4 linked regions of the Saccharomyces cerevisiae S288C genome follow. The protein of the gene in region 2 binds, or shares a complex with, the protein of the main gene of each other region. Each region holds a gene or a part of one and is shown on either strand. Other genes may lie near its edges.

Region 1 (2,997 bases), on a different chromosome or scaffold from region 2:
TCCATGGAGCAAGGGATCACAGAGCAGCCACCATTTAAAGAACGGTCTATATTATTTGATTCGGGAAACAAACTTGTGGTAGTCTTTTCTTCATCTGCTGCATCTTTGCCTTCCTCCTTTGTCGCATTTTCACAAGAATAATGATGACTTAGATCTGGCTTGGATATAATAACTCCGCTGACGAGCTCTCTGAAGAACGCGTATATCTTGCCTGGAATGGCCCTAATATGTTTCTGCGGAAACAGTAGCGTGGTAGAGGGCATTTTTGAACGAATGTGGTATAGCCGGTATAGTTTGCCTTTTCCTTTAGTCTGTAATGTAAATCTACTTTTAATCAATGAGTCCTTGCAGTTTATACAAGAGTCAGCTTGCTTTTTTTTTCGCTTGCAGGGATGGGAAAAAGCAGTAAAAAAAACGTCAATAGTGATACAGTTCATGTCATAATTACCACATGCCCTTTATATGTCTATGTACATATAATTATATAAGTCCATATATACGTGGCATTCTATTGATCATCAGTTATTTACAGCAGGAGACAGTCAAGCGTTCGCTCACGCTATCATTTTCGGAAGTTATAATGCCATAACGTATTTGGGGGGAAGTCAGTGGGCACCTTCATTTCCATCGGGAATCGCTTGCCCTTCTCGGAAGCATTGGCAGCCTCAAACAGACGAGGGCTGAGTTCTTGTAGAAGGTTCATAGATCTCTCAATGCTCTTATATTGTAATTCCAACTGTAAATTTCTGCGCTCCCGTTGTTGCTGCTGATAAATTGACCAACACTTCTCAATGGTCTGATGTTTAATCAGGTCTTCACGCGCCAGCTTCAGCAACTTGGGCTGCTTTCTGCTTGCAGACATCACACTCAACTGCGTGACGACCCTTTGTGCCAAAGGTGACAGTGAGCTCTTGCTCTTTGTTCTCTTATTTCTGATGAAGACCGTGGTCCCAGATACCTGTTCTAGAACGGCTCTGTGTGGTTTTTTGAATGTTTGTGCCAGCATGTGTTATCTTCGTTGTGTAGCGTAGGTCTTCGTCAGTTCAGTATCCTAATCTGCAAATATCTGGAGGTATATTAACTTATGCTTCCCTCCATACAGGCAGGCCCCAGTCTGCTTCATCTTGTTTCTCGCTGGGAACTTTTGTCGCCCCATACGATAGTCACTGTATACGTAATTCTCAGCCGTGCATATTTCACAATAAAGACAGTCTAAAGGGACAAAGGCAAAGCGTCAATGGACAGACGACAATTAACTGGATATTATTTTATGTGTTGAGTATTCAAAGCACATAAACAAAAACAGATTATGATGGATAGCGGAAAGAGTGATATAAATAAGCATGCATACAAGGAGACAGCGACCCCGCTGCCCGTAGATCCGCCCTCTTACGAAGAAACAATGAAGCAAGATAAGGAGGAGGTCGAAGCCGATGAAACGACATCTTCCGCACACAGAGACAGCTTTATGAGGCCTGTTTACACTCACCATCCGCATCCAAGATCCCACAAGGGATATCCGGGTGCGAAGACCCTTACATATACTTCACGGTAGGTGGTAAGCGGTATATGTACATATACATATATATATATATATATATATATATGAGCGTGTGCATGGATGTACAACGATAACAAAAGCAGGTACAGGGTATCAAAATATTTTATATAATATAGTTACTTAGGATATTTATTATTAGGTCTAAAAAGAAATATTACGAACAAACATGATATATTGGTGTAGCGGAAAAGGAAGATAAAGGAGGGAGAACAACGTTTTTGTACGCAGAAACTAAGCAATAACACATGCTGGGTCCCAGAAGACACCTTTGATAATATAGTTGTCCTTCTTTTCACTGCTGGTCTTTTCTTTTGGAGCGGCGGTAGCGGTAGATGGTTGCATTTCTATTCGATGGCTTTGTACTTATTTTGGTTTTATCCGAGAAACAGTTACAGATCCCTCTCATTAATTCATTTCTGGCGGTTTATATATGAAGACTCTATTTCATTTTTTTACTTGATTTTCAGCAACCACTGAATCTGTATCTTTATCTCTACCATTTTAGGTTTCTTAACTGTTTTTTCTGATTACTGGGTTTCATTTAACATGTAAATTTCCTTTTTGGGTAATTACACACTCGTTTGTAACAAGAACAAAGAATAAAGGTATGGGCCAACCGTAGCAGTAGGTGCCTTTTTTCTGAACACTGAAACAGATCGTGAATGCATGTATATGCGTACATAGAAAATAAAAAGTAGTTGATTACATAGCTTATGCCACGTTGCACACTATCCTGATGTTTTAAAGCTCCTCGGATATAACACATCCTAAGCCCATAAATGCCTCTGTCAACACCCTTTCGTACGCATAATTAGTGTTGAACCCAGACGCAATAAATTCTTTCCTGTGCTCAAGATCTTTGATGAATGGGTCATTGTATACTGAACCTTTCAACGTAAACCTTGGGTGTGCTTCTCTATCACCGTTAAACGGCGTGAACGGTACAGCATCTTTGAGTCTCGAATTCTGTACGTTCACATTTGAATTGAAATATGGATTGTTTTTCAGAACTCTATTTAGTTCTTCCAATTTCCTTCTAGCGGACGATTTTTTCAATTTAACCGTATTTTTAACGCCTTCGATTGTTTCATTGATATCCTGGGTGGTCGTACTCAACCGGTTGACGATTTCTTTCTTTGTCCACTCTTTGTTCATTCTTTCCTCCTCTTCGATTTGTCTTTCCAACAGTCGCTTCTTCAATTTCATCTCCTTTTCGAATTTTTGTCTCTGTTCGAAACTTTCTATCTCTGTTCTGCTTCTCTCCAAGTTATTCATAATCAGTTGCTTGTTTAATTCCTCGTAGGTGCGTAGTTTCTCCTCGGTCTTAGCCACATCGATCCCGTGATCTAGTTTGTATATAATGTCTTCCACCTCTTCCAAATATTTGTTATATTCCACAAGGTCACCATTGAAGTCATCGATAGTTTTGTTGAACA
Region 2 (3,047 bases):
TCGAACCTGAAGTTGGGCACAATATCAGCCACCAGTGGGCTTTTCTTCAGCTTGTTCACTAAGTTCTTGGACAGGTTCATGGTCACGCCGCGGAAGGATCCGATGGAGAATTTCTTCTCAATTTTGTTGTCGATGAACTGTCTCCATGACCTGTTGGAATTCGAAGTGAATTGTTGGAATGCTGTGGGATTTTTGAACCTCACCAAATACTCCTCTGCGTATGCGAGGTTGACCAGCAAAGAGATGAGTATGCACTGTGGCTTCATGACCAGTGTTTTTTTGCTGTTTTTCTTGGCGGATGTTAGAGGATGTCTAGCACTTGAGTATACCTCTATATGCTGTGTAAAATAGAAAATAAAAAAGCCAATGAGAACAATATTTTGTGTCGTTTTTTTTATTTTCGCTTCAATTCTCTATACACGTACGTCATCACTACGGGAAACCAAAAAAAAAAAAAAGAAAACAGTACAAAAAGGTTTACTTTACCCATAGTTAGTATACGTAGATTTTATACACGCACTATTTTTCTTATATACAGGAGATGGGTGGCCACAGAACCCGCGCCTAGCCTATTTCTTTCTTCTTAGACCTGCCTCGAGGTCGCCGACATCCAACCTTGTACCTCTGATGTAGTAGTGTTTGTTTCTTTGTCTGCTCGAGACGTGGGGGGTTAGCAAGTCGATTCTCTCGATCAGCGGCGAAAACAATGGCACTCTAATCTCGACGGCCGTCTTGGCTATCTGGTTCCGCAACAGCAACGAGGCGTCTTGCACCAGTTGTTTGCGGTCTATGGAAAGGATGTAGCCAACAAAGGTGTCGTACGAGCACTTGGACGAGTCGTACACAATCCGGACCACGTCGCCTGCCTTCAAGCGGTCCTTGTTCTTTTTACTGATGAGCTTCCTCTTAACGGCCCCGGGATCCAGAGACTCTATTTCTGAGAGGGCCACCTGCTTCATAATCTGCGACGAAGCTATGCGCTGCACAGGTGGGTACACGGGGATGGTTTTTCTCTTGGTGGCGGGGACCATGTAGGACCTTGTCCATGATCCAAGCAATCTGACGTTCCTGCTCCACATCGCTATGGTTCTCTCTCCCTTTCAGCAGCTGCTCAGAGGGAAGACTCGATTCTTCTTCTTCTTCTTTACTGGGAGTTCCAAAGCACCAAAATTGAAAACCAAGAAAAAAAGGAAAATACATCACTACATAAAAGTGCGCGGAGCCATTGACCACTCACATACAGATATAAGTGTATATATACAAGTATACATATACAAGTATACATGTAGAAGGAGACAGAGACAGAGGGAAATGTATAAGTGTGTATTTTTATAGTATACAAAAGAATATGCGTGTGAGGATGTGTGTTTCTTCTAGAACCTGTGTCTTCTTTTCCTCCCGGTGAACTTGGAGTCCTTCGCAACTTTCCTCCCACGTCTTTTCATGAGCTCCTTCTTTCTTAGAATGAAACTCTTGGCAGACTCCTTGTCTTTGCCTCCCTTCAAGCGCTGGCGCAGTTGTTTCTTCAAGTTGACGTTCTCCTCGTCCATGGTCACACCGTCCAAATTCACCTGCTCCTCCCCCTGCGGTGGGGCCCCACTGCTCAACACAAGGTAGTACTTCTTATTCTTTTTAGACTCTGGGTCGTCCACCACAAGCCCGCCACTGAACCCTGCCACCTTGGCAGACTGCAGTATGTCGTCCACCTGGTCGTCGTTTTTCGGGTAGAACTGGGCCACAAATTTCCCTCCCTTCTTCAGTGCAGCATACAATGTGTTGAAAAACCTCATCAACCGCTGTTTAGGATCGTTGTATGAAGTGTCCGCATTGCACAGCCATTGGATCGCACTGATACTAATAGCCGCGTCAAACGAGCCCGCCCGGAACGGTATCCCGGTGCCCATATCCTGCAACATCAAGTCGCCCTCCAGCTCTCTACTAAGACCGGTCGCAAGCATGCTGGGCGATATATCCAAACCACACCACACATGGTCTCCCTCCTGCGTCAAAATCTCCCCAGACAGTCCGGACCCGCACCCGATATCCAGAATGAAACTGCACGGCTGCAGATTCAAAAGCTCCAACGCCCTCAGCGTCATCTTCGCCTGGATATGCTGCACTCTGGTCGAACCCGTGTACTTGTGTGCTTCGCTATCATTATAGAAAATCTCCGGTGGTGCCAACTCCTCAGGACGTGACATTATTTCTTCTCTGATATATTTCCTGTGTTTCCGTACCGCACCTTTTTAGCACTACTTTTTTACTATGCTCTTCTTCTTCTGCTTCTTCTGCTTTTTTCCTCTTTATCACACTATGTATGTGCTGCTCATCTCTTCTTTTTATCGATAAAATTGAAAAATGTGAGATGGTGTAGAGTGAAAAAAAAAAAAAAATCTGGCTTGGCCATCAAATACCCGGCCGTGGTTGGACTCGTTTAGCGAACAATAGCACCCAGCAGACCCTGGCAACATGCGGATGATATAAGAAGGACGAGCGTGGTGGAGGAAAGGGGCGCCATTGGCACACTCACGCAGGTGGTTGTTCAGCACGGCTTGCAGCAAGAGCGCCAAAACAGATTGCAAGAATGACGGAGACTAAGGATTTGTTGCAAGACGAAGAGTTTCTTAAGATCCGCAGACTCAATTCCGCAGAAGCCAACAAACGGCATTCGGTCACGTACGATAACGTGATCCTGCCACAGGAGTCCATGGAGGTTTCGCCACGGTCGTCTACCACGTCGCTGGTGGAGCCAGTGGAGTCGACTGAAGGAGTGGAGTCGACTGAGGCGGAACGTGTGGCAGGGAAGCAGGAGCAGGAGGAGGAGTACCCTGTGGACGCCCACATGCAAAAGTACCTTTCACACCTGAAGAGCAAGTCTCGGTCGAGGTTCCACCGAAAGGATGCTAGCAAGTATGTGTCGTTTTTTGGGGACGTGAGTTTTGATCCTCGCCCCACGCTCCTGGACAGCGCCATCAACGTGCCCTTCCAGACGACTTTCAAAGGTCCGGTGCTGGAGAAACAGCTCAAAAATTTACAGTTGACAAAGA
Region 3 (2,655 bases), on a different chromosome or scaffold from region 2:
ATGTATAACTACGCTGGCGTATTGGAGAATTTTTTGGATCTAAAATTTGTGCGGATACGGTTGATCGTCTTGGTGGCTCAGAGCTTCTCTTGGGTGAGGTAGAAGACGATCGATAAGGAATTCGGGTGACATTAATAGGACTTGAATCTCTTGAACGAGGCGGCCTGAAAAGGTTTTTAAAGGACTCAGAAAATGACCTTACTCTTCTTGTCACAGGTTGTTGCCGCTTCTTCTCCTCCTGCATTACCATTGATGCTGTCAATGTTTTTGAGTCCATCATGCAATTAAACTAGCTAGTTGAAGTGAAAATGAAATTTCCTTATTTTCCACAAGAAATACGCGGAGGGCAAAAAAAGGGACCCAAGGGCTGACAATATTCAGCACAATCCTACTTATTGTACTCTAAATTATATACTTATATGCCCCATAAGTGAGTTTTGAATTTACATATTTCCATGAAGGGCAATGTTTTTTGATATATACATGAACAAACTTATCGAGAGAAAGCTTATATAATACTTTCTTGCGGTCCAACTCTTATGATCTCATTTTCAGGAAGAGGAACGTGCTCTATTTTGTCAAGTAAGTCTTTCATTATATCTTCATGCATTTTATTACGCATATCAATAGTCTCTACAACGGAGCCTTCATGAGATAAAATCTCCAGTTTGCATGGAACGCTTTTTTGCTTGTCTTCGTTCTTTATCCTTATCACGTCAAACTTCATTCTTGGATTATAGAACTGCAAAGTGGGTAGGTAGTTATGCCAAAAAACTCTGGCACCCATATGTCCATTGTGGTTTTTCGTTTGAAAAGTCAATCTAAGACCTGAGTATTTTTTAGGATCGACTAGAATCTGCGGTAGTCTGGTAGTGGCGCTAATTTTATTCAAAAATTTTAACTGTTGTGCAACCTTAGACATCTTCTTATTGTAGCAGGCTCACTTATGTTATACTGTTCTTCTATTAATGAGTTTTATGGCCGATTCTTACAGATATCCTGTTTTCCCTGGGTGAAAAGTCCTAGATCACTTTGAACGTCCCAGTCTTCTGAGGACGCAAATGTAGTCACAATATGGCGTATATGAATGCTCCTTTATTTATCTGTATACACCTCTATTGAATAGACGTACGTAGATATATACATGTACATATATGCATGTGTCACTTTTTTATCATGGCCCTGTTAGACTCACCAAGAATCTATAACCAGGTTTGTTTGTGCTTTTTCTTGTTCTTGTTTTTACTTTTATTGATTTTTTTTTTTTTTCAATTACAATTATCCCACTGAACCTCCTTAAAATTCTTTCATTAAATCCATATATGGATCCTCCCCTTGAATTCCATAGTTGAATTCCTCTTCAGGGTATCTGTCAAATTGAGAAGTGTCACCTTGGCCCTGTTGGATTGGTGGTTCGTACGGCGTTTCTATGTATCTTGCTAACAATTTCTCCCATATCACTTCGTTAAACCACGGATGGTTCTTGACATCTTCACTTCCATTTTGTAAGTTACCCAACCTTTCACTTAAGTCTCTGGTAATTAGCTTCTTCAATAAGTCCTGCGCGTCTGGATGGAAAAATGGTGGGAACTTCAATTCGGCGTTCAGTATATTTTCGTAAGTTTTCATGGTGTTCGAATTGTAAAATGGAGTGTATCCGGCAAGCATTTCATAGATTAGCACACCAAAACTCCACCAATCCACTGATTTATTATACGGTTTTGTACTGACCACTTCCGGCGCTATGTAATCTGGTGTGCCACATAATGTGTATGTGACATCGGGAACGTATTTTGCGAAGCCAAAGTCGGTTATCTTGATATGGCCGTTTTTATCTAGAAGGATATTTTCTGGTTTCAAGTCTCTATATATTATATCCTTACTGTGCAAATATTCCAACGCTAAGCATACCTCTGCGGCATAAAATTTGGCTACTGGGTTGGGAAATCTTTGAGATTTACGTAGTAAAGAAAATAATTCACCACCTTCAATGTAGTCCATTACCATGAAAACTTGCTGAGAATCTTGGAACGTTCCCCACATTCGAATGATGAATGGATGTGAAACAATTGAAAGCATTCGGCGTTCGTCATTGGTGTGTTCAACCTGCTTCAGCTTCACTATAGTGTGCTTTTTCAATGTCTTCAAAGCGTAAAACCTCCCATTGTGATTGGAACGAATTAGGTGAACTCTCCCAAATGAGCCAGTTCCCAAAGTTCTTAAAATCTGAAAGTCACTTAGGGAATACTTTCCTGAGGTATCTCTATATTGTAGCATTGGTTTTTTAACCAAACAAATACCTGCAGACGCTTCTTCTTTCAACTTTCCGCTGTTTCTTCCATTTATCTCCACGGGTGTGTTGGAAGAACATTCCTCATGCACCGAATGTGCGTTTACAGGAATGTCTTGTCCAACGTTATCTGGAGTTGTTTCTGTCTTGGCAGTAATGCTTAATTTCCTGATTTCATTGTTGTTCATCGGATCAACATACATTTTGTGCAGGCTCGCTCTTTCCTTGTACAACCACCGATATACAATATGATTAATGTATTATTCAATAATATACGTGAAACTTTCTTATTGCTTAAAGAGTGATCGCCTATAAATTTTCTCCGACGACTGCACAAAGTGTCTCGTATGTCCACTCGAGTTTCT
Region 4 (2,549 bases), on a different chromosome or scaffold from region 2:
TTGGAAGGCTTATTCACGTGAAAAAGATCACCGGACTGTACAACCATGTCTACGTTGTTATTTTTGGCCAGCATCATGACTTCATGGAAAGTTTTCCAAGAATCATCGCCAGTAATGGGATCATTTTCGTTGTAACCCACATGATTATCTGTAGTAATTAAAATCCTTATTGTGTCTGGATCAGGATAGTCCATAGTCGAGTTTTATCGGATCTGAGCAGGTACAACTTGCGTCAATTGTCTGCATTCTCTTAATGTTGTTTCCACATTGTCTTCCTTACAAGCGTAAAGAGTAATTTAATATGGCTATAATGTTTGGGTTCTATTCGATTGGCCATACTATTTAAACCTTAAGTCAGTTTGGTTGGGTATATCTATCTATACGTTTGTGTAATTGCATATATATTATTTACAGGCTTGCTTGTGAACTCTGACTTTGTTTTTGTTAGAATATTAGAAACGTGCATGCCTACAATGAGATTTGTAGATGCCTTTATTTTCTCAATGCATTTCCAACATATGTTTGAGATCCAGCTGTTTCGAGTGACGGTCGAAATGATTGGCTAATTCCTGAAAGTTCATGTTTGATGGATCGACTTCCATTTCTTTTTTGTCCTTGTAGGTTACTTTCACAAGAGGCTTGACTTTATTGTAATCTGAGATAATTTCCGATTGAATCTGCGTGCCCATGTTTCGTTGCGTTGGTGGAATGGCAGCAAGTACTAACCTAGCAACTTTCGCTGAAATCAATGATATGACCATATCATTTGCTGTTAGTATTTGTGATAGATCGGTTCGAGCCTACCTCAGCCTAGTTTAGCCAAATCTTTAAATCATGATGGCCAAAGGTAAGGAGAACGAATAACAGAGCGAAAAAAAATACATACCTTCCTTGCCAAAGGGATTAAACCTGACAATTACCTTACTGAAGTATTTAGTTATCATGGCGAAGATATAATTAAGCTCGTTTCTTCTTCACATCTGTTCATCCTCTATTTGAGGATCCATAAGTTTATCTCTTTTATTTCGCCGGTATATTCCGTAGAATCGCGCAAAACGGTTCAGGGAAGAATGAAATAGCTAAAAAGTCTTACATGTATAAAAAGTATACAGATTTACTTAGTTTAGCTAGGTTTATCCACGGAAGATATGATGAGGTGACGCTTGGTTTGTTGGAAAGATTAAAGTGTCTGCAATTACAGTATTTTGTTTTCTGGAAGTTGCATAGACGATCAGATCAGCCACGTCATCAGCCATCAATGGGGTAGTATCCTTGTAAACATTCTTGGCTTGTTCCTCGTTACCTCTGTATCTAACTAGTGAAAATTCAGTCTCGACTAGCCCTGGTGCAATTAGAATGACTCTAATTTTAGTGTTGATGAGCTCCTTTCTCAAACTATCAGTGAACGCCCCCACGGCAAACTTAGAGGCACAATAGATAGAACCTGTTGGGTATGCGTCTCTGCCAGCGATTGAACCCAAATTTACAATATCTCCTGAATTCTTGGCTTGGAATATGGGCAGTACAGCTTGTGTGATATTGATTAAAGCCGTGACGTTGGTGTCAAACACGTCCTGGATATCCTCCGTTGCGATCTGGCCCACACGGTCACTGCCAAGAGCCTTTCCGGCATTGTTCACCAGAATGTCAATATCCTTGAACTCTTGTGGCAAGTTTTCAATGAAGGGCTTGATTTTTTCTGCTTGAGTGATATCCAGCTGGGCCACATGAACTTTTGCGTTTGGAAACTCTTGATCAATGGTCTTCTTCAATTCCTCGAGCTTTTCTAATCTTCTAGCAGCCAAGATCAGTTTCATATCACCATTGGATGCCTCCAAGTACTCTAATGCGGTCGCCTTACCAATACCAGCAGATGCACCTGTAATGAGGACAGTCTTCTTAGCCAATCTTTCTGCAGCTTTTCTACCTTGGGACATTATCAAAATACGTTCTCAATGTTCTATTTCCCGCCTTTACTAGTGAGCTTGAACACTTTCTATGCGCCATGCTGTTTCATCTATCCTCCTTTCTTCAGCTTTTTATATCGCTCCGATAAGAAAAATCGGTGTCGTGCCTTAATATATATCAATGCTATACGTCATAGAGTAGAGTCGTATAGTGTATAAGAGTAATATATAGATGATAAAGAGAACTTACTCATCACCCTCTGCACCAAATAGCATCATCATATCGAGATCGTTCTGGTCGAGTGTTTCCTCTGCGGGGGCTTCATCAAGTTCGCGCACCACCTTGTTCTCTTGTATGTGTTCCCGTTCATGCACATTATCCTCGTCCTCATCGTTTTCTTCGTCATCCTCCTCGTCTTCGTCCACTTCATCCTCTTCCTCTTCTTCTTCCTCTTCCTCTTCTTCTTCCTCGACGTTATTTGCAGTTTCTGCGTCAGAGCGATGTTGATGTTGTTTCTGGACAGAATCTTCGGTTTGTTGTAACTGCTTACGTTTTAGTTCAGCCTCCTTCTCGAGCTTTTTAATGCTATCTATGAACCTGCTTTTCAAAAGAGGATTCGTGGCTTTACTTAATTTATGCTT

What was found.
Region 1: IMG1 (region 2) and MRPL28 share a complex: the UniProt entries of both Saccharomyces cerevisiae proteins name them as parts of the mitochondrial large ribosomal subunit.
Region 3: IMG1 (region 2) and MRP49 share a complex: the UniProt entries of both Saccharomyces cerevisiae proteins name them as parts of the mitochondrial large ribosomal subunit.
Region 4: IMG1 (region 2) and MRPL44 share a complex: the UniProt entries of both Saccharomyces cerevisiae proteins name them as parts of the mitochondrial large ribosomal subunit.

Annotation. Positions count from the first base shown.
Region 1 is NC_001136.10:1,384,082-1,387,078, reverse strand, and holds MRPL28 (mitochondrial 54S ribosomal protein mL40 MRPL28), read right to left. Parts: upstream 1,007-2,997; coding exon 563-1,006; downstream 1-562. Other genes in the region: STP1 (Stp1p), read right to left, coding at 1-263; CMI8 (Cmi8p), read left to right, coding at 1,313-1,555; MFA1 (mating pheromone a), read right to left, coding at 1,793-1,903; TFIIH/NER complex subunit TFB3, read right to left, coding at 2,303-2,997. UniProt on the Saccharomyces cerevisiae protein: Component of the mitochondrial ribosome (mitoribosome), a dedicated translation machinery responsible for the synthesis of mitochondrial genome-encoded proteins, including at least some of the essential transmembrane subunits of the mitochondrial respiratory chain.
Region 2 is NC_001135.5:209,345-212,391, forward strand, and holds IMG1 (mitochondrial 54S ribosomal protein bL19m IMG1), read right to left. Parts: upstream 1,080-3,047; coding exon 570-1,079; downstream 1-569. Other genes in the region: RRT12 (Rrt12p), read right to left, coding at 1-266; BUD23 (18S rRNA (guanine1575-N7)-methyltransferase), read right to left, coding at 1,374-2,201; ARE1 (sterol acyltransferase), read left to right, coding at 2,585-3,047. UniProt on the Saccharomyces cerevisiae protein: Component of the mitochondrial ribosome (mitoribosome), a dedicated translation machinery responsible for the synthesis of mitochondrial genome-encoded proteins, including at least some of the essential transmembrane subunits of the mitochondrial respiratory chain.
Region 3 is NC_001143.9:133,213-135,867, forward strand, and holds MRP49 (mitochondrial 54S ribosomal protein mL61 MRP49), read right to left. Parts: upstream 923-2,655; coding exon 509-922; downstream 1-508. Other genes in the region: putative serine/threonine protein kinase KKQ8, read right to left, coding at 1-250; cAMP-dependent protein kinase catalytic subunit TPK3, read right to left, coding at 1,297-2,493. UniProt on the Saccharomyces cerevisiae protein: Component of the mitochondrial ribosome (mitoribosome), a dedicated translation machinery responsible for the synthesis of mitochondrial genome-encoded proteins, including at least some of the essential transmembrane subunits of the mitochondrial respiratory chain.
Region 4 is NC_001145.3:720,460-723,008, forward strand, and holds MRPL44 (mitochondrial 54S ribosomal protein mL53 MRPL44), read right to left. Parts: upstream 945-2,549; coding exon 887-944; intron 740-886; coding exon 501-739; downstream 1-500. Other genes in the region: MRE11 (MRX complex nuclease subunit), read right to left, coding at 1-194; ORA1 (oxidoreductase), read right to left, coding at 1,134-1,937; TATA-binding protein-associated factor TAF7, read right to left, coding at 2,154-2,549. UniProt on the Saccharomyces cerevisiae protein: Component of the mitochondrial ribosome (mitoribosome), a dedicated translation machinery responsible for the synthesis of mitochondrial genome-encoded proteins, including at least some of the essential transmembrane subunits of the mitochondrial respiratory chain.